Linked DNA regions of Lepisosteus oculatus. The protein of the gene in region 3 interacts with the protein of the main gene of each other region in a pairwise test. Links are inferred from orthologs where the notes say so. Each region holds a gene or a part of one and is shown on either strand. Other genes may lie near its edges.

Region 1 (7,789 bases), on a different chromosome or scaffold from region 3:
GATGTGTGGACATCGTTGACGTACATTCATTGTCTTCGCCCTAATCGTAAAAACCATAGTCGGTCTTGTCCAGTTCGGTATCCCCTGGAAACGTGCGTTCCCCCCGTCCAAAATATGCACGTTATCTCGGACAGATGATTTTTTTTATTCTCCACATATAAAATAATATATGTAACACACTCAAGATACAGCCTTTGCGTGCTTTGTTTCGGGTTTCATTGTGTTGTGTAAAGAATAGTTAAACTTTCACGTGGTGGCAGTATTTTTTTTTACATTACTACTTTACATTACTTGTTAATCCCTAGCAAACGCATTAAATACTTCGAGAGACAGAAATACCCACAAATAGGCTCCTTTTATCCCTCATAAACTAAGGCACAAATATGCACGCAGGAGCTGCTTATACCATGAAGTGTCCTGGAAAGTTTTGGGGAGCGTGTGTTTCTGACACCGGAAATCAGATGTACGTCATCGCTCAGTGGTCTAGGTAATCATTTTGGCAGATCACCACACAGGGAAGTAATTCATCCAGCTGTTTCTCAAAGGAAGGCAGGATTTCTGCTTTAACCACATGGCTGAGCAGCCTGTTCCCTACTCCCACACTCTGTTGTGTAAAGAAGTGCTTCCTGTTCTCAGTTTTGCACTTCCAGGTTACTTCCATACTATTCCAACTCGTCTTAAGTAACCTGCCAGGAAAACAATTGAACCACAGATCTAAAATAGGGATCTCGAATCTTGGTGCACAGGACCTAGACTTCTGCATGTTTTTTTCTTGGCGCGCTTTAACATATCAATGAGCAGAGATTCATTCGTACTTTTTAAGTAAACACTGGATTCACCGACGTCTCCTATGGTCGAGCTGGCGCTGAAACCCGAGAGGGCCGTGTGACACCACAAGACTGCAGCTGCACAGGTAAATGTGTCATCCCAGTGCTCGGGGTTTCTGGTTCGAACCCTCGACCAGCCAGGGACTCCCTGGTTCTCCACACCGAGAACCCACTGTGACCGAGTCTGCAGCAGCAGTAGCTGTTGATCCTGTTAATCTCTGAATGAGCCACTTCAGATAACAGCATCTGCTCAGCAGCTGATTAGATATCGATTCCAATCCGTTCTGGTCTGAAGCATCATGCGAGGATAGGGCCGCCCCAGCCCAGAAAGCCTGCCTGCCTCCCTGCCCTCTCGGCTTTGATTCTGTCTCCTGTGTTGTTTTCTGGGTGTGCTGCCTGTACCCCTCAAGCCGAGCACTGGGAAAACTCGGAGCAATGGACTGGCATTCGAGAGGGTCTCTGGCTCATACCTGCGAGCTGCGCAGAGCCCTGTTAATGGCCTGCTGTCTGGGATCAGGAGCAGAGGAGGCTTGGACCAGGCACAAGAATTTGCCTTACAAGGGGCTGTCTTCACCGAGAAGCTGGGGGCGCACGCAGAGCTGCCCTCCTGCTCTGCTCTGCTCTGCTCTGCTCTGCGCACGTAGGGCTGTACGTACGGCACCAACACATTTCCTTTGTCAAGATGTGGCCAGGTTTGCTTGTTTGTGCACAGCAGTTTATGCAGCAGAAAGATGAGGCTGCAGTGCAGCGCAGCGTGACACTTCATGTGTGTCAGGTGGAGGAGGAGGTGGGGTCTCTGGGTGTTGTCCCAATCCGAGACCCTGCCAGACTGCGGAGTCCCGGCAAATTGCAGGGCTGGTGTCCTTCTCTGACTGATTTTGTTTCTGGGGAACCAGCAAACAGTTTCTTTCATCACTGCAGCATTTGACAAGGATTATATTATAATATTACCGTTTACATGATACCTTTGAGCTAGTTGCATGCTGTAGTTTTTTACCACTTATTTCTAGCTTGTTAAATGTGGTCAAATGCAGAGGTGTCTTCCTGCCGGTGGGGAGAAGACAGCACAAGTGTGTTTTCTGGCATCCAAAACTACTGTACTACACACTTTGACTCTTTTACCTGTTGCAGTGCAGAACAAGCCGGGGAAATACAAATGGAATAGAGCCTCACTGATGTTGACCATTTTTAACAATCTTACCTTCGACCCAGAACTGCTGTACACATGCTGTACCTTTCAGGCAGTTACAAATATCTTGTTTGGTGACATTTTTTTCCTGGCTGATTTTAAACTGGAAGATTTAGCACACTGTCAACCAGTACATCACCACAGAGTGTTTGTGGCCTCTTTTACAAGCCTTAATTCACTGATCCATGTCCATGGTACCACACAGTTCTTAAAATTAGGATGCATCAGATTTATAATTCTTACTCTGGATGTATGGGGAAAAGCATGTTTTAGCTGCGGTTAAGAAATGACCAGTCATATTTCTGGAAAGTAATGCTGAAGACCAGCGAGCCCTCAATGACCCCAGATTTTATTTCATGTTGTTTTTGTGAGTCATCCCTGTGAGGTCAGCGAACATTCATTAACTGTGAGGAGATGCAGTGTTCATGAGGAACATTTCTCATGAGTGGTGACCGGTAATCTTCAGGCTGTTGTCAGATTTTGCTCTCAGACCTCGATCACTGTCTTCCTCAAATGTTAAATTGTCTTACTGCTCTCTGCGTTCAAACTCAACTGCCTGTGGGTGTCATTCTTCGCACTATTGCTACATATTTAATTACATTTGAGGGTATTTAATCCTTTTAGCCGTAAGCTTCACTTCTCTCCTCTTCATTAATTCCTGCATGGACTCTGTGGTGCACAGATCTTAGAAATTTTGCATTTTTTATACTTTTTCCAGTGTTTTTTCAGAAGCACAATCCAATTGCCCTCTGTGATTTTAGCCATTTTGTTTAAAGGTAATGGTTAATATTGACAAATCTGTGTTTTGTAGTACAGAAAGTAGAATTCTAGCTTTATGAAGGTGTAGTGAGTACCAATTTACCAATAACCATAACTATTCCTTACACTTAGTTCTTTTCTGGACACTCCACTCAAAGAGCTTTACAGGTAATGGGGATCCCCTCCACTACCACCAGTGTTTTCCCCACCTGGATGATGCACCAGTATGCTCCCCGCAACACCAGCTCTCAGTGTTAAGGAGAACAGAGTGATGACGCCAGTTCATACATGGGGATCATTAGGAGGCCACGATTGGTAAAGGCCAGGGAGAAATTTAGCCAGGACACCTACTCTTTTTGAGTAGCACCCTGGGATTTTTAATGAGCACAGAGAGTCAGGACCTCGGTTTTATGTCTCGTCCCAAGGATGGCATCTTTTTTACAATACAATGTCCCCTATCATTATACAGGAGCATTAGAACCGTCACACAGACCACAGGGAGAGCGCTTCCTACTGGCCTACTGGAGCACCTGATATCGATCCTGACATTGATAACGTCTGACCAACCAGTTTGACCTCATGAGTAAATGTGATGGATTTAGCACAACACCTCAGATTGGCTCTCCGTGTAGAGTTGAGATGTTGTGATTGTGTTTGTGTAGCTGCAGATCAAAGTGAATTAAAGACGCTAAACGACAGGTTAGGTGCCTTCTCATAAGCTGTACTGCCAACAGTCAGAGTTGTTATAACAGTAGAAAAAAGTAGTGGAGGTTCTGAGTAAATTGTTGATGCTCTTTACAACATACATATATTATAATTCTGGATTGTCTCCAATGTCTAAGACTTTAGCCCAGCAGAGAACCTGGATACATAACTGGTTACAGTGCCAACAACATCAATTTAAGTAAGGTATAAGGTATATACTTAATTAGGTATAAGCAGATGATTTATAGAGGGCTCTTCACATTCAGATGGCATCGTGTTGCAATTATACTGTATATTGTGCTTAAACTGTAGCAAAGGGAATTATTAGTCTGCTTTCGAATCCTGGAGAGAAGCAATTCCTTGTTGTGTTTCCAGTGCTGGTGCCAAAGCTCATTGCTGGCTGGACCAAGCCCAACCTATATTGCATCCCTTTATATGAAGCTTGCAGACAAAATAGCCTTTTCGCCTTGTGCTGTGAAAGATGTTTCCGAACGTTGTGGTGGCACATTAAAAAAAGTCCACGTACAGACTTCATAGGGGATCTACAGGGCCTATAGAGCATCTTGCCTGTCTGCAGATTGACCAGGTGATGTGCTCTAGAGAGCAGCTGGTCAGCAGGTAAATAAAGAACAGCGCTTTTTTCATGTTCGAATTGTAGGTTCGAAGGTTGGTTAACATGAACGTCACCTGCATCTCTCCAATTTATTTTACCTGAAAAAAAAACGAAACATGAGGCTGCTTTAAAGGCCGAGTTGTGGTTGTTTCTGGCTGTTTTCGCCTGCAGAGAGCGTACGTCTCCTGGGAGGCGCGATTCTGAATTTTGGCCTCCATTTGGATGGAGGGGTCCCGGCCAGGAATGTACACAGACAGCGACAGGGAAACCAGGAATGGGGCTCAGGGGGGACGCGTTCCCTTTAAAATAAGAAAAATCCGGCCGGGGGGGGCGCAGTGGCTATCGGTTTCCTGCTCGTATTGTACCTCGTTGCAGCGTCTGCGCTTGGGCTGGGGGTTGTAAGTGAGCCAGGAAAAGCAGAGGAGGGGGGCGGGGGGCGGGGGGGAGGGCCTGGCGTCAGCCGACAAAAACAGCTGTGGGACTGTGGAGTGGAAAACAGTCGGGCATGAGAGAGGGAAGAGGGGAAGAGAGAGACTGACAGAGGGTCCCCGCTCTCTATGGGTTGTGCCTGGAGCTCTGAGTGCTGCGGAGAGGAGCTGTGCCCGGTGCCGGTCGAGTGGGTGCCCAGGAAAGAAGGCCCGGGCGCTGCGGACAAGATGAGGCTGACGAAGGTAGGCTCTAGAAAAATTCAGGGCAGGTCCGGGGCTGGCATTCCGAATCGGATTTGTGTTGCTGGTGCCTTGGGTCTAGGGCAAGTGTGCTGCTTTCTCAGCTCAATCCGGCTTTCCAACACCGGCGCTGGGCAGGCTGTGCAGTGTGTCTTGCTGTCGCAGGTGGCCCAGGATCATCATGATCTCCAGGGTCTGGATCTGGGCCCCGGGTTCCGCCGATGTGGTCCCAAAGAGCTCAGGGACGAATCACTGAATCAGTGTGACTAGGACCCGGGCTGTAGATCTTCGGATGTAGTCAATCTTTTCACCCAGCTTCTCGAACCTGGGCCCAGCCGCTGCTGTGTCATGGCTGGAGTGTTCTTCTGCCCTGGCTGGACCACGGGCCTTTCTGTCTAAGTGTGAAAACTCTGATTAGGTGCTTGCAAGGAATTGGATTGTCTGGAGTAGCCTTCAAACTGCAAAATTAGTGGGCAGTGACAGGATGACATTTAGAAAGCAGTCTCCGGGATCTTGAAATTACTAGGGTTTTTTAGGTTTGGGGAAATGGCTGGACTGACAGAAAAGCATGGAGACACGTTCATATGAGGGGGCAAACTGTACTTTGGGTGCTGTGCATTTAATAGCAGGAATGGAAGCCCAACACCCATTTAGAGGAGGATATGTCACTTTTTATAACGTTTTGTGTTCGGAAACCATGTGTCCAGAGAATCAGGCTATTCCGACAGTGCTGAGCAAGTCCAGAAATTCGCAGCCTGTTTCTGGACCACATGGGGTGAATGTAAATGCACAGTGAGCTTACCCTTTTATCAGTGTGTACTCGCTTGTGTACTGATACAACTCGAGCTCTTAACAAAATATAGGAGCTGATAAGAACCACTCTTTGAATTTCACAGGAGCGACAGTGGTACACATCCAGTATTCAACTTGGATCCTGAAGGTCTAGATAACTGCCTCAGTGTCTGACTTTCATTCCAGTGAATGAACAGAAGTCCTCCTAACTAACAGGAGGGGCCCCAGGAACAGGTGTGCTTGTGCCTGTTCCCTTTGATGCCTGGTCTTGTTCTTTGTCACATGCAGTATACAGTACATGATCTCTGTGTCAAAACCACCTTTGCAAGCCTAGGTGGGTGTTATTGTGCGTTACTGTAATGTTCCTAACATTAAGATTGCTCTGAGGAATGGGAAACTGTCAGGGAGGAGTACGATCCATAATTCTGTTGTGTTCATTGGTGGAGCTTGTGGACCGGCGGGATCTGGCAGAGAGGAACGCCAGAGCAGTGCACTGAGGGACTGGGATTGCTGTGTGTCACTCACACCCTCAGTTTGGCGGTGGACTGGGTGGGAGGGGTGTTGGAAGTTTTCATCTTCTGAAATCTGGGTCCAAGTTCTGGTTCTGGTTTGGAACGCTACCCTACTCACTCTGATGTGCGGGGTATAAAAAAATCTACAAGCCTTGTTTTTGACTGGAATTGTCACCAGTTTGGGCTTCCACCTGGTGCTGAAATCCAGGGAGAATTTAAAACAGCAGAGCATTTGAATTGTACAATTAGAAGTGAATCCTGTTCCGGTGGTGTTGTTTACTGTAACTTTTGTGTAATTTGTGACTCTCCAATGTGACAGTAGTGGTACCCTTGAGCAAGGTGCCTCACCTGAATGGTTCCTGTAAAACACCCAGCTGTGTGAGTTGGTGCCAGTGTAAGTCATTTTGGACCAAAGCATCAGACAAAAATAATATAGCTTTCTCAAAATCCAGCTCCCCTGTCCTTGTATCTGTAATACCTGATGAGGCCCAGGTTCCCATAGCAATAAAGACAAGAACGTTGGCAATGGCTGGTAGAGAGGTGGTGAGCTTTGCTGCCTCGCCCTGGGTTAAATTCTGGGCCTGGGGTGCTATCTGTGAGGAGTTTGTATGTTGTCCCCATGATTGCGTGGGTTTCCTCTAATAGTCCAAAGACATACTGGTAAATTAATCAGCTTCTGGGAAAAGTGGCCCTGCTGTGTGGTTGTCTACTCTGGGATGGAGTGGGGTCCCACCAGGGTGTACCCTGCCTTGTGCCTTTTGCCTGCCGGGCTCCCCAGCTGCCTCAAAACTCTCCTTTAGAACCTGTCAGCAAAATTGAAATTGTAATACCCTGAATTAACCTTGAAAGGCTGGTTGTAGTTAGGGCAAGGTGCTCAAGAATTGAAGTGAGTTCTTAAGCATTGTGATCCCATAGTTTTCTACCAAGAGGCTGAATCTTCGGGACTCATGTGGTGACGTTTTCTGCAGAAGACTAGTGAGATCCGGAAAAGGCGCCACTTCCTTGGAAATGGACGCCAACAGGCCTTTCCTAGCTTCCTCAGCCGGGATTCTCATAGTAAATGCTGCAACTGTCTGTGGCCGTCAGTAGTACTTCCGGATATAGCTTTCCCGAAGCATGCCATGCATTCTCTGGGAATTACAGAAAGCTCCATCGGTTTCCTCCGAAATATTCCATGGAGATCATTATACAAACGTCAGCATTAAAAAAAAGTACTTGGAAAATTTGCGCTCACACACACAAAAGAACATTTTGTAAAATCAACATCCTCTCCCTGTGTTTAAAGGAATATACTCTGTGGCCTCAGTCGATACTGTAGTTGGCCTGTCTCTTCATTCTCTGATTGTTGGTTCAGCTGGGAAATTGCCCAGAGTGGCTTTGAGATCTGTATAACCTGCAGACTGAAATGTTATCCAGCATTTTTGTTTAAATTTTTGGCAATGAAGTGACTTAGCATTTATGGTGAACAGGAGATCTTTTGGTTTTGAATCACTGCAGACTCGTAAAACAGTATTATTTTTTTTAGTTCTGATTTTAGACAAGGGGATTCAGACTCTAGTCCTGGGGTGCTGAGTGTTTTGTTACAAATTAAACAATTAAAAGTTCTTAACATTTTCTTATGCTGAGTTACAGTTGAACTCTCACAGTGCTCACTTCATTAAAGGTTAAGTTAACCTATAAAACAGTGTTGATCCAGGACAGAATTATGCTCCTTCAATTATATA
Region 2 (8,101 bases), on a different chromosome or scaffold from region 3:
TTAGCTCTGTTTTAGAGCTGCCGCTAAAAACTGGCAACCTTGAACATCAGTGTAATGACTTTTCTCCCCTTTCTCTTTATCAGACAAGCTACGGACAATCAACGTTAAATGTGAAAACTCTTGCGGAAAAAAGCATATCATCACAAGTCCCGTTCATCGCAATTATTGGACTTTCAGAGCCTCGTCTAATCAAAGCAATTGAATGCTTTTATGAAACCTAAACTTTTAAATTTAAGTAATGGAAGGACAAGCCATTGGTGTTGATTAGGAAAACAGCTCAAAATAAGCAAAAACAAAAGTTTCAGAACACACAAGCTTTCAGAGCTGTATTTTCTTAATGCAAAGAGAGGGCCATGTTCCTGTAGGCTATATGGATCAAGCAATGCAGTAAAACAATTTGGCTAGTTATTTCAACAGAATCAAATCTGCAGATTGGTAGGATTATTCTGTTCAAACCAAGCTTACTATCCAATTCTCTGGAGGTCTTATTTTAAGAACACTAATTCTGAAATTAATTAAAGCACAATTACCAGTAATACTTCTAGCTAAAAAATGACCCTTCTAAACTAGCTCCCCTGTACAGCACCAGGGCTGTGCACCTCTCCTGGATCTTCTGTCACAAATTCCACTTTTTAACCAATTTACCAGTTAATATTCCTTTCTTTAGAAACAATGTATTTTGTTACACTGCTAGAAAAGAGTAAACAGCTAATTCACATTCAAAGAGCAGGTACTATCAAGCCTTCAACACAACACCTTCATGCTCAGGGTCGTATTTACAAACTGTCTGTCTAAAACTGCTGTACAAACATCTTGTCACTCAGGAAGTACTAAACATGCCTCCCAATAATGTTTCCTATTATTATAACCACTTCATTAATACAACTTATTTTGGGCGAGAAGAAAGCCAAGCTTATTTCAAAGTTTCAATTCGCCTAACAGAATATCCACTGCACCACACTTGAAAACTAAAAAACCATTCAGTTCTGAACAGAGACCACAAGGGTCTTGATTCACATTCACAAACAGTACAGGTCCTGACAAAGTCAGCCAGAAGAGCTTGCCAGGACCAGCTATGAAGCCTGAACCAGGATGTACAAGTGCAAATGCAGAGAACAGCGCTGCTCCTAGATCACAACCACATCACACAGGTCAGGTGGGTCAACTCTACATGTAACTGATCTCAAGTTCATACGTGGAAAATAACATTACTGTTCCTGGGCTGCCTTTGGCTGATGTGTTTAGCGCCCATTTGCACCCTCTTGCATAGCTGGGTATTCGGCGTGAACCTGCTCCTGGGGCGAAGCTGCATCAAGCAGTTCAGCTGGAGCACCTTGCTCAAGGGGACAACAGCAGTGCTTCGCCAGGAGGCTCGAACCCGCATCCTTCCAGCCACAAGTCTAGAACTCTGACTGCAGCTCCCACGACCTCCCCAATTCCACCGAGACATTATGGGACAGGTTTGATGGGCAAGAGTGGAAAAATGTTTGATCTGAGAGGATTCGGAAAGATCTGTGAGGGTTAAAACAAACGCACTGTGCTAAAGAACACTGTGTGGCTGTGGTTGCCAACAAAAGGAGATTGTTTTTATAAGCATTTTTGGCAGACTGAGTTTTTATATTAAAAAGCTTATAAATGAAAACTGACATTTATTCTGATCTTTCTTTGTTTCCATATTTCTCGCAGCTTTGACCACCAGTGTGTGCTTATTTACAGTAGACAGATACACAGATGCACTCACACCCATGTGAACATGATGTAATAACTATAAAAGAAAATAAACAGGTTATTTTTTTAGTAAACTATCTTCTAATCAGGAAGGACTAATTCATTATTTGCTCTTTACTGCTGCTTCAGCACATATTCCCACTTAATAAAAACTTCTGCCATGGTTAAAAGCATAATGTATGCTTAACCCACAACCCCTAGTGTCTGGAACAGCACAGGCATTCAACCAAAAGAAAAATTCGGGAGAAGTCAGTTGAAAAGGTAAAATACTACAGCTGCTATATTTTTCCTTCTCGTATCATACTTTCACAGATTCTTGAGTTAGCTAAGTCACCGTTAACATTTTCATCTTCCCTTTACTAGGAAACAGCAGCTTTTATCAAGATCTTTACATCTGAATCCTTACATGAATCCGCCAACCTTCACCTCTGCGGACATGCAAACTACCGGCAGAACTGTGGTGCACAAACTACACTTGCTGGAAAAAAGGCACCCGGGCTTGGACCACGGCAGGACTGTAACACGAAGGACGAAAACACTTCCAAACAAAACCTCAGGCACCGCGGCTTCCTGCCTGCGCATCACCCCTCCCCAGAGCACACAACACGCTGAAGCCCGACTGCCCGGCTGCAGCTGCCAAACGGGGCGTCTTGGCAAGAGGCGCTGTGGGCTCCCGGACTGGGGGGACCCGGGCCCGGCGGGCAGAGGCTCCCCACGCCGCGGCGGCGCACTAGAAGACCGTGAGCCTGGTCCACCCCCACCGACGCGCTTCTCGCACTCGACCCCGCACAGGGCCTACCCACACCGGAGCCCCGGCCTCTGCCGCTCGGCCGGACCGCCTCCGGCACGCCTCTCCTGCGCCCGAGACCCGCCGGCATCGCAGCGGAGAGGACACACCGCGGCCAGACCCCCGCGGCACCCCAGAGCGCCCCTCGCCCGCTGCTCACACAGTGACGTGGCCGGATCCGCGCACCACCACCGGGTCCGGCGAGTACTTGAGCAGCTGCTCCTCCGCGGCCCGCTCCTCGTCCTCCTCCTCCTCGTAGATCTCGTCAAAGTCCGCCATCATCGCCCGCTCGCCTGGGCCCCCCCGGCGCTGCGCTGGCCCGAGAGAAGCGCACACGGTGGCAGAGCGACCCCCCGATACCAGCAGCCCCCCGAGAAACTGACACCCCGAACAAACTACCCGGCGAGCGGCGAAGGCGCAGCCTCACAGCTCGAGAGCAAAACAACAACATCCGCCGCCTCGCGAGAGGTTGCGTCACGCGGCGCGAGAGCGGAGCGGAGCTCGCGGGAGGAGTGCGCAGGTGCCGGGGTCACGCGCTCAGCGCTGCGCGGCTCCGCTTGCAGACTGAAGCGCACACACGCTCACGGGGTGACCTGAGACCGTGGACGACGCACGCCTTGGCGTGGGGGCCGGCCAGTCCTGCACTCGGCAAGACTGCCCCCCTCTCACCTGCGGCATCCAGAGCAGGGGGTCGTGGGCAGGAGGGTGTTTCTGCGTGGGGGTGTCTGGAGTCTAAGAAAGCCGCCCACTTCAGCAATTCAGGAAGATCACAAGCACCAGAGGGAACAAGATCAGTCACCACAGTCATGCCCCTCTACAGCACACTAAGCGAGAAACCTCGAGTCCCACTCAGACTGATGAAGCTTCGTGTTTACCTTTATATAGGTCGTGTTAACGTCGTTGCGAGGCTCTGATCTCTTTAAGCACTCGTCACCAATTAAATCATCCGTCTGTTCATCTTCAGTCCAATTACACACGTGGGAGTTGCAGCGCAAATATCTACATTTTTTATTGATTTTTACTAATGATTTAGAAATATAAAAAAATACTAAAGCAAATCATCACAAAATAAGGGAAACATGATGGTCAAATAAATTTTGTACATAAACATCAATGCAATATATATCATATATACAGGGAGGTCTATGGCTCACAAGAGCTCCCAGCAGAAACGTATGTTTCCTGCATAATCGGGTGTAAAAATCACCAAGAACAGAGGTAGCTCATTTTTTTATAAGAATACGACACTCACGCCTGGAAACCAAAACACCAGAATTTGTTTTATATTTTATTCTCACAGTCTGCTCTGAGTTGCTCTCAGGTCTTCATGCATGTCCTGGGGCTGTGCCTCTGCGTCCCGTCACCCGGTGCTGCTGGTGCTGCTGCAGCTGCCCTCCTGGGGGGCAGCAGTGAAGGGGCCACCGGTCCCCCCCTCTCGGACCCAGGTCCGTCTTTCCGAGGAACAGAGCTCTGGTGCTTGACCTGGAGGGCAGACGTGCCCAGAGTTGGGTCCCAAACCGCCAAGTTACTTCATTTAACAGGTGCATCTTTAGAGACCGGCGATTTAATGATGATGTACAAGAGCTGCTGGACTACTGGTGAAACAGCGGTGATGTCTCGGTGAGTGATCACGCCCTTCCTCTTTCCCCTGAACACTCGAGAATACTGCAGCCCCCAAGGGGGTGATGTCTCTGAGCTGCCGTGCAGCACAGGCATAGTAGCAGCCATACACATTGGACAGCATACTCTCATCACAACGCCCTCCGGCTCACGTGAACTGGGATACAGCAGAAAGTATTCCAGGCATGTAATAAATAGGAGAGAAGGAGGACTGTAATGTGACATGAATACATAAACCTGTTTAGCAAAACCAGAGCCCTCTGTTATGTCGTACTGCCATACACAGACAAGGAGCTCAGCTTTAATGTATTAATTAGTGATAAAAGCAAAATACTGAATTCATAAATCTGTGTGAATAAGTTTTATACCATGATCAGCTATACAACAACATTGTGCTTCAACACAATTGTTTGTCATCTGAAGAAATATAAATGATTAGGACCACTTTGTACAATAAAACAAAACCATAAACTACATTCTATATCCCAAAATTACTGTTTGTTATATGTGGAATTTGCCAGTGGTGGAAGAGATGGAATGGAATGTACTGCACCTTTGTGTTTTACAGAGGGTGAAGAGGCTCGCTAGTCTGCCTAGCTAGTATAATGCCTTCAAATCCCACAGGCATGTGATGCTTGTATACATACACACGTTTAAATGTTAAATTAACAGTTAAAATGTCTGGAAGTACCACATATACGGTCTTAAGAGAAATTTTGAAAGGGGTTTCCTTTTTGTTCAGTTCTTGATAGGTACATGTTCATAAATTTGTAATTAAGAACATAAGAAACATCATACAGACTTCTGGCTGTCATTTCTAACTAGATTCCATCCTGAAATTTCACTGAATGATCCTCGGGGATCAGTTCAACACCTTGGAATGGACCAGCACACAAAGAAATATTTCTTCAATGCAGAAGGTCTGTGCAACAGTTTCTTAATGACGTCCCTCTGGCACACAGGAAGGAAGAAGGCAGGTCAGAGGGGGGCTCCCAGGGAGAGGTGTGGCACCTGAGTCTGGCCTCCTGGGGAGCAGAGCCAGGGGGACAGATTCCTGCAGCCAAGGCACTGACTCTGGAGCATCGGGAATAAGGAACCACAATGCAGTGTCACCGAGAGTGTGTCTGCATTATCTTCCCATTGAAATTAAGACAGATTTTCAGCACTTCGGATCAGTAAGTCAAGCAAGGAAATTGGTCTAAGGGCTGTTGTATTCTTCCCCGTTACTCACTCTCATTTACTAATAAATGTTTGCTTAGTCTTATGGAAACATATAACTGGGTATTTGGAAAGAGCTTTAATAAGTAATTTGTGCTTGGATCGCCGTAAGACAGTGACTATCCATCTTGCCTAATGAAGCAAACTTTTGGGGAGCTTTTGAGGGTCACACCATCAAGTCGATTGATACTTCTTTCTGACTTCTGCCTTTTCATAATTGAACTACAAATTCAAAACACATTTGCACAGTGAATACCTCTTTCTAGAAACACTGGAGTCCAGCTTTTCAACTAAACCCTTCTAATCCTCTGCAGATAGATTCCCATTAGCCTTTGTTTCAGTCACTTTCCAATTCGAACAATGGGGACTATTCAGTTGCTTTGTTCATATTAAATTATTTGTCATACTTTCCTACTGAATTTGTCTGATTTTCATTCGCATGTGGAAACTGCTTTATTGTAATGCCAATAAAATTACGTTTTATTAATATCTTGGTAACAAGAATCCGTTTCACAATGGAATAATTTTAGTGTTGCTCAACATACATGTACATGAAAGTTAATGTATAATTTCAGTACTTTATTTTTGTGCAGCTGTCACAGGATAGGATATAGTTTACTATAGGATATGGTTTTATTAGATATATTTTCACCTGTTTCAGTGACATTGTTGTAAACATGAAATCATTTCCATTTGTTTGGTTAGAAATCCTGATTTCCAACATTGTACAATTTAAGAAGCTCAGGATGCTATAGGTATAATAACTTGAACTTGAACTTTATTGCCATATGTAACAATGGAACAATGGAAATAGTACCATTAGTATAATAGTATAATATATAGTATTAGTATAGTATAATAGATACAACTCAGAAGAATTTTTAAAGACCGATGTGTCCCTGGGTAGGCATATACAGTACTTAGCTTTTTTTTGTGAAAATATAAGATTACTGCAAACTGTGTGACTCTACACTGCTATGAAATAAACATGACTGTACTGTATGTGCTTGCTCTCGTCTACAGCACTACATGAGTGGTTTAAAAAAAGATGAAAAGGCCAAGACTAACCGACCAAGTTCCCTCTGGAACTGCAGGGTCTGTAAGGGTTTATAGAGCTAAAAACTACTGCTGGTCACCTTAAGAGTGATCTGCGTCACCCCCTGATGGTGTGGCCATCCTGTAAGTAAAGCTTTAGCCTTTTAGATTCAAAGTATTTTCATACATATTGAAATCATATCTGTTAGGAATTCCCCTTCTCCATGTTTTATTCTATTTCCATCCATCTATCCATTTTTTAACCACTTCAACCAATACAGAGTCACAGGGCCACTGGAGCCTTCCCTGGCAAGCAAGAAGCACAAGGCGGGATACACTCTGGATGGGACGCCAGTCCATTGCTGGCCAAATGACCAATATAATTTTCTCAAAGTGTTTTCTGAGCTCTGCCAGCTGGTGAATAAAGTTCCCAAAAGCCTAGAAAGGATGTACATCAGGGCCCAATCCCAATTCTCTGGAGGTGAGAGACAAAAATGTAGCAAGAACATCACTTTCCACAGTATCACAACCCGGAAGCCAAATACAGTGAAATCTTGGCCAGATTTACTATCACTTCTATGATATGGGTTTGTCAAGATAGTTTGCCTTTCCTGGCCAATTGCAGTTTGTTGGTACCTTGGACACTTGTTATTCAAATTTTAAAAAGTGGTAAAGAAAATTCAGTTAAAAAGCTTTGGATACACTTTTGTGTTTCCTTATAAGAGCATGTTAATACCATCTGAAAATAAGGATCTCTTGAAAAGGCTTCATCTCTCTCCTAATGAAGGAGAACCATCAGCAAAAACATGAGCACATGCAGAATAAGTCCATTCAAATAATAGATTCTGGAAAGAAGTGACCAACACACTCAGCTGAAAGTTTTACAAGGTAAACAACCTGAATGAAACGATCTTGAACTCTGAAGTCAAGTTCTCAAAACCTGTTATAACATTTAACATTCTGGAAAATATAGTGTATGTTTGTCTTGTTTTTTATGAAAAAAATGAAATAATGTATTGATAATGTAGATTAAACAAGTTTAGTCCACTGCATAAATTGTGACACAAACTTTGTTTTCATTGATGCTATAAAGCGAATTTATTTTCTCAGAACAAGGAAAACAGAGTGGGCATTACAGCTGGTATTCTGTTTAAAGAGATAATTGTTCCTGAAATGTCACTCCTGTGGTATTATGTTGTCCCCTGGATCATTGTTCATTTCTGTTACCATTGAAGACTATTTTGAAGACCCGAGTGTTTCTTTTCAGTTTTTGGTATTCATGATCAGTTGCCTAGTAACTAATAAAAGAGAAATCACGCGACTATATTAGCCAAGATGTTCCACGGGTTGACTTACCACAATGCAACTTTGAAAAAGGCGTCCATACAGCTTAATGATGGTCTTTCAACAAGATATTAATGGATTTCTTCACGGTATCGCCAACATTGAGAATAAATAGGTATCACAACGATTGCAAAATGCTGAAATATGCCCACGGTAGCTTAGTCCGGCTACGCATCACGGTAGCTGAGGTCTTCGCGCTTGTAACACTCGAGTGTGTTGCTGTGTGCGGCTACTGCCAAGTGCTAGACGGCAATATTTATAAATGTGATCAATCAAGCAGTGTTTTTCTCATATCTAAATGTAATTTCAAGGCCTCACTGTGTTAATCTGACCGCTTTTTAGAGTTATAATTGAAATGTTACTAATGCC
Region 3 (7,639 bases):
TTGATTTTTAACGCCACCTCCTCCCTCATGAAAATATCCGGATAACGAGTTTTCGCAAAGAGCGCTTCCAGAATGTCCAGCTGTGAGCGCGTGAAAGTAGTCCGCTCCCGACGCTGTTTTCTCGGGGTCGCTGGAAGGCAATATTAAATATTTCAGAAAACCGTGCTTTCTTTTTTATTGCACATTTAACATGCTATGAGACTCACAGTCTGCCGTTTTAATACTGGTGTATTGTAAAGGGTAAAAATCGAAAACCTCATATTACCCCTCCACAGATCATTTAATATTCGTTAGCCATGGGTTAAAATGGTTTCTTTACAATTCTGGACAAGAACTCGACGTGTAAAAGTCTTTTAGCGCTGTTTTGAATGTACCTGCGGACAGACATTACAACGCCATTTCGAGAAGGCTACAAATGTTAAAATACAGTACCATTTTTCATTCTGTGTAAAAATAAACAACAGGAAACATTTCGAAGCGTCAGATTAATTTTTCATGAGGCAGGCCTTCGTTAATAATTAACCCGAATCTGATGCCGGCCTCATGCAGGTGTCACAGTCTACAAAGTTTATGATAGTAAAGAAAAGGTAAGGCAGGTTTTTATACAAAATCATGGCTACCTCATGTTAGTCTGCACTTCCTAAAGAAAAAAAATAAATCAGGCTTTTAGACACGGTAACAAATCAGAGACTAAAACATTAACATTAAATCATAGCTCTGGGCCTAAAAGTTTTCTTCTCTTTTTAATTTAGGGAAAAAATATTTCGAGTACAGAACAAATAAGCCTGAAGCTGGAGCGCAGACCATGCATTTAGATTTTTTTCTTCTCTTTACCTGGATATCCCACTGAAGGATGTAGTAACTCCATAGCTGTTCCGCTCAGCCCCAGCCCGTTCATACCGTACGGGGGCTGTTTGAGGTATGACATCATGCTAAAGGCTTTATCAGGTTCCTCCAAATCTTGCCAATTATTCTATATTCTCTTATATTAAACTCCGGGTCAATAGGGCGATCAATTGAAAGCACTGAAAAATAATCATAAAAAAATCAATTAAAGTCTTCATTCAAGTTACTATCTCTCTGCTAGAATTCAACACGGTGCATTTAAACTCTCTAGAAAGGTTACAAGCCCTGGTGTTAAAGCCGTGCCCACAGCATTTTCGTGACTGGCAGTCGGTAACGTAAAAATGTCGTGAAGTGATTGAAATTTTACTTCAATCAATTTGGTCACAAAAATGAGGAAAGTACTTTTAAGAATTCAAAACACGGGGTGAGGTACGCGTTTATGCACTCAACAGAATGTCAATTTTGATGAAGCGACCCCATTTTTTTAAGTACGAAAAAATACAATTGCTGTATGAAGGAATCAATGGCAGAAATATTACTGTTAACCTATTTATAATTTATTGTATTAAAAACACCTCAAACAGCGAAGTTCGACAAATACAAACCACTGTGTAATACAACCAACACTCCAATATTTTTGGTATGTAGGTGTCAAACTTCTTTTAGATGGAAATGTAGTTCAGCGTTGTTAAAACTGTCAGGAGAAATGTGAAATTGTGGTAATATTAACTAGGTCATAAAGCCAAATAAAAAGTTTTTCAGCTGCGAGATGTTTACGAACTGTAGCTCTCCACTTTGGAATTGTTTTGTTACTGTAATATAATACGAATTCATATTTTTAAATGACGTGATATTGAAATAAGCTCCAAACATATACATCTTAAATCGTAAATTTAGAATTTCCAAAAAAAAAGTGTCACGTTACTGAATTAATTTGACTTTCTAATGTGGCCACCATCTTCCACAAATACCCCCACTATTCATAATTATTAAGTAATATTGAAAACAAATTAACGTGAATAAACAGGAATGTAAAGGCTTCCAGTTATAAACTAATTCCAACTGAAGCAGATAAAGGAAAAACGCTTCAAGGTACAGTTATACATCTGAACGACATGTTGTTTCCAACATTCTTTATCATTTAAAATGTATTCGCATTTCTTCGAAACCTAAACCTGCCAATATCGTATTTTCGATTCAATTATTTTGTTAACTACTAGAACTCCCCCTCCTAATCAAGATAAGATCTGGTCCCGTGCTGTGAAAATGAACCGGCAGTAAACCTGGCGTATTCTGTGTATTTAGATGTTTCTTAAACTACATTTGCAGCTCCACAGGACGGAGATAAACTAGATTGAAAAGGCGAGAGCTCCGTGCAAATGAACTCAATTACAATTTAGATTAGACCTCCAGGGAGACCATTTAAAGAAGGGGTCTTATCAGCAAAATAAATTAACAAAAACCAAAACACGCCTCTCCAATTATCTACTAAGTAGATTCAACATTTTTAATGGGCAATCGGTCTCTTATAATTATCCATTTCCATGAGAATAAATATATAGGCTATATAAAAAAGCAGTCCAAACAATTCTCGCATCAAGATCGAAGTTGTTTTAAATTCCCCATACTCTTTGCTGTGCACATTAATTGGGATCTTTAAATTGTTTTTGGGGCAGCTAAACACCTTCTCTAGAGCGCACAGACAGAACAGCAGGCTTCTCAGACCGTATGTAGGATAGCCTACGTGTAACTTTTATCGAAAGACGTATTGTACACCAAGAAGGTCCATTTAATTATCATATCATCATCATTATTATTAACACAATTAATGCCCAACATTCAGAAAATGTATTGCGCTTATGCTGCACATTAAAATTACTTATATGGCAAACTTCACGAAACAAAACAAGAAACAAACCAAGCTATGCGAGTCGTGTTCATACATGGCAAATTTCTGAAGCGAAAGCGAACTAGACGAAACCATGCAAACTTACCTTCAATTTATTTCTTTTTTTTTTCGATGGTCAACAAGAAGCGTATTTACATAGAACAATATCCAGCAAGTGAAGAACTCTGGGATTCAGCAAGGTGGAAGAAAATAAGGAATTTAAAACTACCTATATCATTCGCTATACTTTTTAATGGTTAAAAAAAAACCCCGTCGTGCGTTTACGTTTCTGTACCAAACACTTGCAAACCGCACGTGTTCGCCGTCGTTTCACTGCTGCAATCAGTGAAAGTTTCCGGGTTGGAAAACCAAATAAATCAAACGCATTACCTTGGCCGCAATGTATGTCTTCCACTGTGTTTAAGGTGATTGCTAATGTAGACCGATGAAGATTGATCACCTTCTCTCCGCCCTGCCCTTCTATGAGTGTGAGACACCTGCGGAACCGCCCCCTCGCACCAATCCGTGAGCGCTCTTCCCATGATTGACGTCGCAACGAGTCAATAACTGAAAAGAGTTAGGGGGAAGCCCCTCCCCTTCATACTGGGAACAACATAAACCTGCAAAGTAAGACCAGGGGGATAGAAAATGTTTTAAAAATGAATTGGTGTTTATTTTGTTGCAATTTCGTTAGCCACTGAACTGAGGGCCGCTAAAAACAACAAAACAGAGTGTTTCTGTCAGGTTGTAGCGGAAAGTTGTCGATTTGCGTGCGTGAACGAGAAAATCTAACCTTTAAAAGAAGTATTAACTTTTACAGTATTTTCTGTTTAAGGATTATTTTTAACAGATACGGAATTTGGCGAAAGAGGGGCCTGTACACGTGTTATTTGAGCAGGAAAGATCAAATCTGGAGATTTTACTTGATCTTTTGAAACGGTTAGGTGCATGAGATTTCTTCAGATGTTACGGATTTTTTTTTCGCAGTGGAGAATTTATACTTTGTGTCACCTACTAAAATACAGAACTAAGCGGCTTTCATCAAACGTAAAATTAAGCTAGTTTTAAGAATTAGGCAGTAGCTACGGGACTTTAATGTGTATTTAATGTGATAAACGTAGACGTATTAAAATTACTATAGGTTTGGGAGCAAAGTTTTTGCAAAATTAAATTTTCTTTTAGATCATGAAATTGTGCCTTACACATGTCCATATTCTAACAAAGTAACAAAGTAGTATAACTTCAACTTTATTTTATTTTGTAACGACCTATCAACTAAAATCCTGAGCAATTGTTTTTTTTCTGCTGATTTAACATGGAGATGGTGTAACATATTGGTGCCAAGATCTGTCGACCAATGTCCTTTGAAATTTAGTGCGCATTATTTCTGTTTTAGTAAATATGCCGAAACAATCTGTATTACATTTTTTTTATTTTAGCAACCATCTCATGAATATTGATGATGAGTTAATCCCCCACTTAGAATTACATTTCAGAATAGTCAGCGTAAAGTTTAATAGGGACTGTCTTTTAACAGAGCGGTTGGGAGGGGAGAGTGAAAAGGACGAGAAAAACCCAACCGACACCAGAAAATAAATGAAATCAGGCAAGAAAGCTCAGTGGCTGGGTATCAAAGAAAGCACCTTTCAAGCGTCACTTTCCTAAAGAAATGCCAATAAAATACGGTAACAGAATATCATGGAGGGCACACTGTTTCCTTAACTGTTTCTCAAAGGGTCGGGATATGTTCTGAGGACCCTAATAAGCCTTTGCTCGCTCCTATTGTTGATCTCGCAAAATCAACTCATTCTAATTGAAGCCGGAGCTGAAAGCGAGCTAATGTTCAAAGACAGTGACCGCCAGACGAACGAAATTACATTTTTGACTATATAGGACGACTAATCAAAGGCAGGGTCTACACGATTCTTCTATAGATCCAAAAAGTCATCGACATGAGCACTTTTTTTTAAGAACAAAGGTGCCGCTACAAAGGCACAGAAGGTTTGAAAACAAAAAAAAAGTTCTTACGTGAGGTGTTTTTTTACACAGACACTGACAAACAGACCCATATAGGCCCATATGTATATACCCGTGTGTCTCTGTGTGTATATGCACACAAGTTTATCTGCATGCTGATAAAACACAGTTTTCAAATACATTTGCACGGATCTGATGTCAAAGTATGTACCCGCAGTATTTCAATTACACACCAATATTTGGATGGACATAGTTTCCCCACACGTTAAACCCAGATGATTTCTTGTTTAAGCGGATCTTTGCATTAATGCAGAAAAAAACGACAACATTGCAGATTAAAATTTAGTTTAAAAAAAACAACAAAAAGTCTTCTTTTAACAATTCGCCAGATTTGCTGTTTTTATTCGTGATCTCTGTTTAAGATGTGATCAACCCTGTGCAAGTATCAAGGTATCAAGTAGCACTAACCTTTTGTAATAAGAGTATTTGTCTAATCCCAAATTGCAGACGAATTTTCTTAATGCTGAGCCTATAAAGGCCGGGATTAAGGAAGCGGAGGGAAAGGGGAAAAAAAGTTTTGTCTCTTTAGCCGACAGGATTGTATTAGATCGTGGATGTTGTTGGGTGCTTATTAAAACCGTGATGCATAAAATACGAAATCTGTAAGAGCCCCAACACAAGAAGATTTGTAACGTCTTCCCTGGGTTCATTTTTTTTGAAAACTAGGAGGGAAATTATACAGGACACAACGGCCGGGGCTCCATGAAATCCGACTGATCAACACCTGTGAGGTGAAACTAGACTTCAAAGTGTTTACATCTACAATACACAGGAGATTATTCCATTCTCACATCGACCTCTTAAGATATTTTCTGCAGTGCTCTTCGTAGCAAAAGACGCATCTTTCTTTCCGTTTTATCGTTTTTTTTTGGGGGGGTTCTCATTCTCCAACGTTACTGCTGAAAAGCTACCAGTGCAGGTAAGCACCGAGAAACATATTTTATAGAATTTTCTGTGTCAAGAAATAATCTTATTCCAAAAATTATACCGGATGTTACAATTCTTTAAAAAAAAGATCGTATGGCGATTTCTGATTGTACAGCGGAATAATGGAAATCCATATATCTGTGAATTAGGAGCGCATCTGAAAAGTTCATTCGAAAACAGTTTAAAGTTCGAGAAGCTAAAATTAATCTCAGTGTAACGTGAATATTGGCTACAAAATACAAATGATAATTCTACGAAAAAAGTATGTTTTTCTTAATGTTAATACTAAATATACGGGCTATGTTTGCCCTTGAAGCGGTAGCACTTATTTGAATGACTTAAATCATAGAAATAACCCAGATATTTCCGATATACATATATTGATATAATGTAACCGTCTTCCGAAAGTCGTCGTTAATAATTTAAAGTTTTTTTCTCATATAAGGTTGATACAGTTGTTCTATTAGAAATTCTAGGACCATTAAAAACAAAAGGCTTTACATGAATATAAACCATTTTCCCGAATTGTTTTGTGATGGTATTAAAATGGTTATGCTGTCGATGTTCTTTGTACGCCAGTGTTCTTGACAACACTGCTACGGTTGCATCAGCGGCCAGAAAAGTACAGTGTACCTCGGAAAATAATGAACTGGAAAGTGTCGCGTCCGAACACAGGTTTTTTTTATAATACTGTGCTTCCCAATTCATATTTCTTAAAAAATAAATGTATTGAGTTAAAGAATTAACAAAGACGGGTATTCATTCAATGCAGCAAAGTTTTTCGGAAGTGCATTCGATTGTGAACGTTATAAATTGCAGGTTATTCAACAGATCACGGTCACCAATAATAACAACATCATAACGAAAACAAATCGCCTTAGAGGACATAATATGGGTATACAGTTGGACCCAAGCAGAGAGCCGATCAGCAAATTAATTTGAAAGTATTAGAAAGGCCAGAGAGGACGTCAGCTGTCAAAACTTATTTTTCACTATTTAATCACAGTGATGAGGACGCAGTGATGAGTATTTCGTGGCTGGTGTCATTAAGAGGCGGCTCTTTATATATAAAAAACCTTGCTGGAGAAGGGACCGAAGGTAAACAGATGTTCCGTACAAAACGATTTCGTCTAATCTGCCTCTCAGGAATGAATAATCTGCATTAACCTAAATTAAAACAAAATGCAAACACTCATTTATAAATGAATTTAAAACACGGGGGAATTCGGTATAACTCCTTGTTAGAAGAATCATTCAGATTCAACTTATGTTTTAGCCTATACATCTTACATTATTTGCACTGTAGACTGGTTGCCTTTTCTTTTTAATTGATGTGTCCAATTTAATTCCAAAATGACATGTTGTAAATAATGGCAAAGTAAACTTCGGGTATTTTACTGAAAACAAATTTGCAAATGCTAAACAAATTAATGTAGCATTTAAAAAACCTATTATTCATTATTTTCAGCAAATACTCGGCGTTTTATTATGAGCACCCCGTCACTTTCTTAAATGTTAGTGGGTTACAGAAAACGCTTATCTTTAAATGTGATTTTGAGATTTTAAGCCCTGACGGGTGAAAGGATTGTGCAATTTTCTAACCCTCCACTCTAAACGGATACCCGATTAAATGGTTCATTATCGCACGCAAAAACGTTATTTGAAATAGTCTGCGCTACTGTACTTTTTATTTTACGACTTCGAAGAAAAAAAATTAAAATAGCGATGAAAATAACGAAAATGTTATTGGTCGTGACTGCAAACTTTATAAGCATGTACACCCCCAGAATTATATTACACTGAAGAAATTAGAATTTATTTGAATTCTCCACTTTCCAGCAAGCTAAAATCTAAACAGTTTGGAAAGACGGATTAATGCACGCGTTTCTCAAAGTTTTTTTTATGGTTTTTAACTTCCTACTAATAATATAACCTGGTCTA
Region 4 (8,393 bases), on a different chromosome or scaffold from region 3:
TTGTACGTTTTCCCCCGGTATTCACAAAAGTTTTTAACCTCCTTACACTCGGCACAGCACCCGTTGTGCTCGACTTTCGTGCATTTGGGGTGGATTTTCGGGCACTCGGGCTGGTCGCAGACAGGGCCGTCCTCCGTGCACACGCAGGGGCAGTTCGAGTGGCCCGGGAAGAACCGCTCCCCGAGTTTGTAGACGAACCCGCTGTCGTCCACGCAGCCCTTCCCCCGGTAGTCGTCGAAGAGGATGTTGTCGTTGTTGGCGGCGTGGTCGGCCTCGTCCGCCGGGTAGTCTTCGGGACTGATGGCGGCCGGAGAGACGGGGGCTTCGAAGGCTAGAAGGAGTACACAAGCGACTTGAACAAGAGGGCCCATCCTTCTCTGTGGATTTCCTAGACATTAAAAGATCGGGGTCTTAATAACAGACCAGGGAACAGAACCTGTTCTGAGTTAGCACATAATAATATTATTCTTATGAGTAATAATAATACAATAACTATTCCGCTCCACTCATTCCTGCAAAATGAAATTGTGATTGTTGCTATACGATTCGGTAGGCACTTTAATGTTTTTTTCCTGATTTGGGAGGAAGTTATGAAGGCCACAGCGAGGTTCAAATTTTTAAGGGCTTTTAAAAAAAAACAGCACACTAAGGCCTACCGTTAACTCTGAATCAAAAGTCTAAACATTATTCAGAATACTTTACAAAAGAGGAATACTGTTTGTCTGGTGTTCACTCTCACACAAAAATGTGAATGTTCCTGGCATTCACTGCAAAAGTGCTGGTCAGAACCAGAATTTCTTCTCGGAGTGGGGGGAAAATAGATTTAATTCATTCAAAAACACACGGAACAGGAAAATAATTTGGGCTTCCTGTTGCCTGTTGCCTTTCGCCTTGTTCTGTCAGAACAACAAGAATAGAACTTCTATTAAGGTTTCAGCTGGGGCAACCCGCCTTAACAGAGATCTGCCTGACCCTTGTGGACAGAAGATATGACTAATGTATCGATAAATGCATTATTGGTACAGGTAGCGCTTTTTTCTTTAATGGAGAGGGAGAAATAAAAGCGCCGGCGACATTTACAGTACGAGTACCAGTTCTTTTCTGTCTCTTAGTCATCTGTAGAGCGTGGCAAAGACAACCCCCACCGGCTGGCCTCTCGCATAGAGAACTCGGAAACAGGGTCTTCCGAGTTGGCCTCTTTGTCAAAATAATTTGGACAATCGCCCGCGACAGCGTGAGAGTCCTACCCACCCCCTTCTAATTCGATCACTTCGTAGCCCTCAGAGCTAGACTGCTAAATACGCTCCCGCTTGCCGAAAGCTTGCAGAAAACACATTTGCACGTTTATTTTTGTTGTTAAAACTGTACTGACAGCAGAGACAATGCCTCATTGAAACCGAGAGCATTGGGTGAAGAACGAGTTCGGCTGTTCATAACTTTGATTACATTACAACAGCCTCAACAGACGGCCATCGAAAGCTTTTGAGCACGTAAAGCTTTAACTATTTATGGCTATACTACTGTACGTGTTAAGTAGGAACGCCTGGTTAATACACAAACAGCAGGTAGCAAGTCTTTACTCCGTTAATCAACATATATATATATACAGTATATAACGGTATATAGATCAATAATCTGTTAATAAATACTTGGCAATCAGAGGTTACTTCTTCCTGTATGTAATCGGGTTAATTCCAATTTGCTAAAACAAATTACAGGTAGGTAGCGAGTTCGATTCCTAATGGAACACCCCTCACGGCAGTATAAGAATGAGTGATCAAACTGCACATGACTTGAATCCGATTTCAGCGTCTTGGCAGATGTTGTACGTACTGTACAGCTGTACCAGAATCGCTGCAGCTGCCTGACTCAAAAGTGAACCTTTACAGAAGTCGTTGAGATACCGTTGCGTTTTCTAAAATAAAAAAAAATAAAAAAAAATCGCGGTGACGTGTAAGGATTGATATCACGTTTTATTTTTTTCAGAATTGCCTATTTAGTTGGGATACATCCCGTGTAACATTAACATTCATTGAGAATGGAAATGGTTCCTCTATGGGCGTATTGTGGAAAACAGCAACAGATGTGTTCAAGAGGAGATACTATATATTATACTTGTCTATTGTTTAGACTTAAAATGAATGCAGTGCAATAGATTGGAATCACAACGCCATATTTAATGAAGTTGCAATAGGTATTACTGGACTCACCGCGCTTATAGTTCTGGTTCCACTTTGTTAAAGTCGGTATCAAGCGAGTCCAGTTCCCCCCTGGACTGCCTAGACATACAGTCCAGCTTAGAGTTTAACCATGTGGTTGTAGAAGGCAGATAATAATCCGTTCCCCAACAAGACGTGATTGAAAACGACGTGAGACTTTAGTACCCCTGCCCATCTACACGTTTCTCTGGAAGCTGGGGCGTCACGCTTATTTTCGTATATAACCTGGATGAACTCATTACTTTCAATTTTGTCTCCACCGAGCCGATGAGTGATAACCGCGGTGAAAAAAAAGAAGAAAAAAAAAGAACAGTAAAAATATTTTCTGGGTTCTTGAAATGTCGGTTTTGTGATTTTTATCCGAAGTTCCGAAAGAGATGAAGAAGTTAAAGTTCTTGGCTTTCGATGGCACTTTCAGTCTTCTGTGAAGCAAGGATGCTCACGGGACTTCCAGATAGCGCAGATGTAACAGGAAAGCAAGAGGAATGAATTGTTCCAGAAGCCCTCTGAAGAAAACGAGACGATTGTGGAGACTCGAAACAGAGGAAAGAAAGAAGATGTAAAAGGACATCAATGCAGGAGCGGAACAAGACGCAAACCGCAGACTAATCCGTTTACAGTCACAGATAAGACCGCAACCCCACAGCTTCACAAAACCGGTGCAAAGTACTGTAATCCTTCTCTCAAATACGCCCAGAGCCGTGCGAGCTGAGAGCACAGGCGCGGCTCGTCCCAGCAGCTTCGCTCTCTGAAAGCTAACGCGCGCGTTCCCCTTTTCAGCACCACGGACAGCGCCTGTGAACCGCCGTCGCTTACACAACAAGGCAAGGGGCTCGTCTCGTTAGAGACAACTGCATGACTTGGTTTTGCCTCCTCAGACCAGTCCACGCAAGCTCTGTGGCGCTTGGCTTCTTCAAGGGACTAAAATTCAGGCGTCTTTTTTAATGAAAAGCTTTTTTTTTTCCGTGCCCGAAACATCATGAACAAAAAATAGATACCCCCCCCCGCCTCCCACCATTGAATACTGTCTCTGGAAAGAAAGAACGCCAAGGCCAGGGTGTTGCTCTCTGTAGTTTGGTTACTTGTCGCAATAAAAAGTCAACCTTCCTGAGCAAAATAATACGCACTTTATTTTCGGACAAAAAGCTCTCGGCCTCTGCGAAACTTTGCAATAATAAATGTCAGACTCAATGTAAAAGAGGCATATTCATACGAGTTTTGTAATGTGAACGCCAAACAGTCTGTTCAAACGTGCCTTATGCGTGAGATTCCTTAAATGCAACAAACCTTAGAATAGAAGCTAATACTTCAGTTTACCTATAGGGGCCACTGCCTTACTATATACCACAGGCTTCATCTGCTCCTCAAGCATAAATTAAACAGACTAAAGAAGAGGAAACATATAGAGAATAAAAATCCTAAATTAAAGGATATCTTATGAATTACAATACAGCTTGCAATAAACAGTCTTCGACCCTGACTCCGGTTGGATTAATTACCATGGACAGCAGAGGGTGTGACTTCACATGACTAACTCTTCCTAGCAAGTTAAAAAAAAATCCCGTGATGAGTATTTGTAACAAATTCACGCATCGCTGGAACAATTATACCCCCCACTAATACAGCCTGATGGTGAGGGATTTCTAAATCAAACATTCTATTTGTGTATTTGTCTCCAGAATACAATGAGGAAAGAGAACTTACAAAGCGAATTTATCAAATATTTTTATGGTTTCTAGAGGAGTAGTGAGAAACTGTGACTACACACCTATCCCTTAACTGCGTGTGCAGAAGCAGCACATGACTTTAAATTGAAAATAAGCTCAACCTGGACTTTTACATAGGGACGCATTTTTATTATTCTGTTTAAAGTAGTTTATTTTCTGCATCATCCATCTACAGACAATTGTTTTACATCTTATAATTACATCTTGACACCAGCAGCACACGGGAAGTTTTCCAGAGCTACTGTAAAAAAAAAAAACAAACGGTTTTGTCAGCTACTAAAGAAAAAACAGACAAAATGACTGACAGTGCAATTTCAATCCTGACGAATAACTTTGACTCCAGCTCTTCCTAGTTAACATTGTTACATGACAACTGGCAGGGAATGTATTCCTGTGGACTGATTCCACCATTGATCCAATCAATCAATTAGAAACTTCTTTCATTGTAAATGGAACATGTTAAATTGTGCCAAGATTATAAAGGCAGACATGTTAGGGGATATACTTAACCCCCATTTCCTTGAACCCACCTATCCCACCATATTGATGTCCCAAACATGACAGCAGTCATCGTATCCATATATCCATATACTGTATATCTGTTTCACTCAACACAGTACACATTTTACGTAAAGTTTTCTGTTGTTTTCTTTCTGTATCAATTATTTCAATAACTGTCTAAAAATACTTTTAATTCCTGAATCAGGATGCATTGAAATCCTCTTTATTTAAAGTACTGACACTTTAACCTACAGTATATACTTAAAGACTACCAATACAGGCATTTTAAAGGAGCTTATTTTCCGCTTAGGTAAAATAACCAATAGTTTTTAAAGATCCCTGTAACATTCTAATTAAACAGTCACGGTTCAAAATCAGGAATTGATAAAATAATAGGGGCAGGTTTCGTGACCTCAGAAAAATGGATTTTACAGAACTGAGCAGTAGAGGGTTAATGGCTGTGCTATCTGTTTTATTTGGCTTCTATCAAGAAAAAAAATAATTGGCGGTATATTTATTTGTGGTTCGGTTGCACAGCAAGAAGGCAGGCATTTGGTTTGTTTAAGACTCAAACTTTATAATCATGAGGTGCACGTAGCAAAGAAAATCAATAAAATCCATTTCTGAGCTGAGGTGGCCCCACCAGCAGACTAATCACTGCTGTGCAGCTCAGGACTTTGGTCAAATGCTTCTAAGAAACATTAAGCCAGTTTAGAATGAGCTAACAGCAAAATTCTGAGACTGTTGTTCTTATACTGTACAAAAAGATAACGATAAACTGGGCAAACCCAAAGGAGAAGGTCACAAGGAATGAGATGTAAAAAAAAATCAATGCAGTCTGTGATTAAGTAATAAGATCAGACGGATTAAGAAGAAATGATTACTTCAATGTGCTGTGGGTTGAGGTGAAATAACCAAGGATTCAAGTGATGCAGAACTGATCAGTGAGAGGTGGTGTCAGTCACTTCTAGCCAACAGCCATAAAACACAGAGATGGCCTTGGTCTCTCTGCAGCTGCAAAGTCTGCCGCTTTTCGTACAGATTTCTTTTTTAATTGGACGAGCAGCACAGACATTTTTATATTCCTTGTATGCTTAAACAATATGAAACGAAACGGTGGCGTGCCTTTATTATTAGAACTTTTTAACCTACTTTCATCTGTCAAAGCCCCCATACTTGATTTCACACTCATTAAAGCTCCAAAATAAGGAATACATGTATTTTTAGTGGACGCGTGTCAATTCATTGTGGGAATGGCTACATCTGAGGGAATGCCTATTTTGCAAAAATTAATTGTCAGCTGGAATATAACTTTTGACATAATTAAACTGCACATGTAATAGCACATCAAAAGGACACATCAGTCATTTTCAGAGAACAATGGCTACTAGATATGAATGTAGGAGCAGACACAACTGGGAGAAGAACATTTGGCACTATTCAACCTGTTGGTAGCAAATTGTAACTCGGGGTCTCATTCAGCCAGTTCCTGAAAGATGTTAGTATATCGGCTTCAGCAGCATGGCTGGTCAGCTTGTTCCAGACTCCCACAACTCTTTGCATAAAGAAGTGCCTCCTGGTTTATGGTTTAGATGTACTTCTTCATAATTTCCACTTGTGACCTCTGGTTTGTGTTTCACTGTTCATTCTGAGGAAGACAATCGGGGTAATGCTGGCAATGTCTTTGAGCATTTTGAATACCTAAATCAGGTGCCCTCATAGTCTTCTCTGTCCTGTGTGTTACACAATTAATAATGCTTCTGACTTGCTTTTAAAATAGTGATTTTTGTTCACTGCTGTAGTGCCACATGACTGCATTTTGAAGTGAGAAATCACAATTAAAAAAGTGCTAGTTGTAAGATAAAAGTCCTTGGTAGTACCTTTGTCCTCGATTTGTTTCTTGTCTTCATTGCCCACCATAGGTCTTTATGACAGACTGAAATTCATAATTACTATGCTTAAAGATAGCAGTGGTAGTGGATGTGAAATACGTTTTTACAATGAAAAACATATTTAGAGGCAGCTTGTCAGATTCCTAGGAGTGATTATAACTGGCTCTTCAATATGCAGCTGATCAGGAAGTGCAGAGATTGTACTGCTGACACACGTTCAAAGTACTGCTGTGTGTTTTTTTTTCCAAGTTTAAACATTAAAAACATGTTTTTTTTTTCATCAGACTTGCTTTCGGAATTAGTTGTGAATTGGCAGACACAAAGATGACCCTTTCTGAAGTGCTTAAGGTCACAGGGCCACTTCCCACTTCTGAACTGCTGCGTGTGAGACTAAATTGGAGAAAAAATATTTCTGCAGCATAACCCAGAGCTTTCCTCTGGCTGTACCAGCGAGACTGTCCCTCACCCGAAAAACCTGTTGCTTCAGTACCAGCTTTTAAAACAGTTTCAAAAGATGTCAGCAACGACGAAATAAATAATGTAGTTCAAAAATCCAATCTCTCGGAGAAAAACTGGGGACCACTGTGAAAGCAGTCAGCATAGATGTATGTAGCATCCTACTGAAACATTTATTTTTGTTGTTCACTGTCAAGATGATTAAACAAAACAGAAAGAGAATGAGGATGTATGAATTCCTTGTGATTTTTCATGAATTCCTTAGTAAAAAAAAAAGGATACGAAAAGGATCACAGGGGATGTGGAGGAAGGAAAAATACTACCATAAAACTTTCCTTATTTGTGTTATCTGATTAAACCAAAAAGCAGGGTATACTATACCAATGTGATGGGAGCATCACAGGAAAAATGCAATGTTCTTTCTAAGATTATTCCACTTATGATACCGATTGCTGGCATAAATATTCTTTGCCAGTATGAGCAATTACTTTAAGGCTCTCTTACTGAAGGCAGTCCAGTGGTTTATTATGCCAGTTCATGTCTGAAAACCAATCAGCAAGCCATTAGACAGCTGGTAAAGCACTGTACATAGCTAGCAGTCATTGCAACAAATTCTAATATAATTAGCCAGTGGGAGCATCTACTTTTTGTGGTTTATCAGTAGCTTTGCAATTTATCACATTAATAAAACAATGTTACATATGCTTAATTGTAACTATATTTTTGTTTTTGCATGAAACCCTTTCCTAAGCTTAGGTTTTGTGGTTAGTTTCCTGCATAGATGACTATCTTTTGCTGGCATGATAAATCAAAACCCAGAGCATAATTTTCCTAAGGATACCAGTTTTTTGTAAATGGTGCTATTTTTCCTTCTTTCTCTAGAACTGCCGCTCCATTTGGTAGCAACAATCAAGGTCTGGAGATACTGTAGGTCTTTTCTTTTTTAAAAGATAACTATTTTCAAGGTTTGTTGTGCTTTCAGGCAAGGAAATACTGCTTTGAAAACAAATAAAGGACCTCCTGGAAATCTTTCATTTCCAGATTGATAAGAAACAAGCTTTAAAAAGCCAAAAAGGATCTTTCCGGAGAATCTTTAACTGCAAGGTGAAATCCAGTGTTTGTATTACCTTTTAAACATGACAAAACTTTTATGCACATCAGGATTCTGGAAAAGGCAGCTCACCAACATGAATGAATAACCAATGGTGAGAAATTAAGTTGTTTTTCCTACTTCTTGAAAAAAAATAATTGACAGCTGAAGGCAGCTGTAATTGTGTGGGCAGATGACATATTTGTTGACAAGGACACTTTTGTACTTTTTGCTCTACTTTCTCCTGTTACATTTTAGCTTCTCTCCAGTTCCCTAATCAGTGAGAATGGCAGAACAGCTGAACAGCCTGAGCACCGCTGTGCTTGTCTTATTGAGTCGCGGGCCGTCAGTCAAGTAGAAGGAGCCTCCTGTAGGACCCAGGGGCAAAGACTTAGAACCCCAAGGACCCTGGTGCCCTTCACAAGTCGAGGAAGCGCCTCGGCTCTGAAATAGCTGTATTGGAGTCCCTGTTCAAGCTCCGCTGTGTTCCCATGGATTAGAAATGCAG

What was found.
Region 1: the proteins of otx1 (region 3) and tns2a interact in binary tests that used the Homo sapiens proteins (3 or more experiments, as listed by UniProt). The two-hybrid records come from large-scale screens. The link is inferred for Lepisosteus oculatus from reciprocal best matches to the Homo sapiens genes OTX1 and TNS2.
Region 2: the proteins of otx1 (region 3) and cysteine-rich hydrophobic domain-containing protein 2 interact in binary tests that used the Homo sapiens proteins (3 or more experiments, as listed by UniProt). The two-hybrid records come from large-scale screens. The link is inferred for Lepisosteus oculatus from reciprocal best matches to the Homo sapiens genes OTX1 and CHIC2.
Region 4: the proteins of otx1 (region 3) and vwc2l interact in binary tests that used the Homo sapiens proteins (3 or more experiments, as listed by UniProt). The two-hybrid records come from large-scale screens. The link is inferred for Lepisosteus oculatus from reciprocal best matches to the Homo sapiens genes OTX1 and VWC2L.

What each region holds. Positions count from the first base shown.
Region 1 is NC_090696.1:17,524,485-17,532,273, forward strand, and holds the start of tns2a (tensin-2), read left to right. Parts: upstream 1-4,565; 5' UTR 4,566-4,650; coding exon 4,651-4,764; intron 4,765-7,789. UniProt on the Homo sapiens protein: Tyrosine-protein phosphatase which regulates cell motility, proliferation and muscle-response to insulin. Phosphatase activity is mediated by binding to phosphatidylinositol-3,4,5-triphosphate (PtdIns(3,4,5)P3) via the SH2 domain.
Region 2 is NC_090696.1:78,484,606-78,492,706, forward strand, and holds the start of cysteine-rich hydrophobic domain-containing protein 2, read right to left. Parts: upstream 3,112-8,101; 5' UTR 2,798-3,111; coding exon 2,676-2,797; intron 1-2,675.
Region 3 is NC_090712.1:9,476,702-9,484,340, forward strand, and holds the start of otx1 (homeobox protein OTX1 B), read right to left. Parts: upstream 3,215-7,639; 5' UTR 3,125-3,214; exon of another isoform or gene 2,841-3,124; intron 1,026-2,840; 5' UTR 932-1,025; coding exon 835-931; intron 131-834; coding exon 1-130. UniProt on the Homo sapiens protein: Probably plays a role in the development of the brain and the sense organs. Can bind to the BCD target sequence (BTS): 5'-TCTAATCCC-3'.
Region 4 is NC_090707.1:8,197,826-8,206,218, forward strand, and holds the start of vwc2l (von Willebrand factor C domain-containing protein 2-like), read right to left. Parts: upstream 3,479-8,393; 5' UTR 2,211-3,478; intron 389-2,210; 5' UTR 372-388; coding exon 1-371.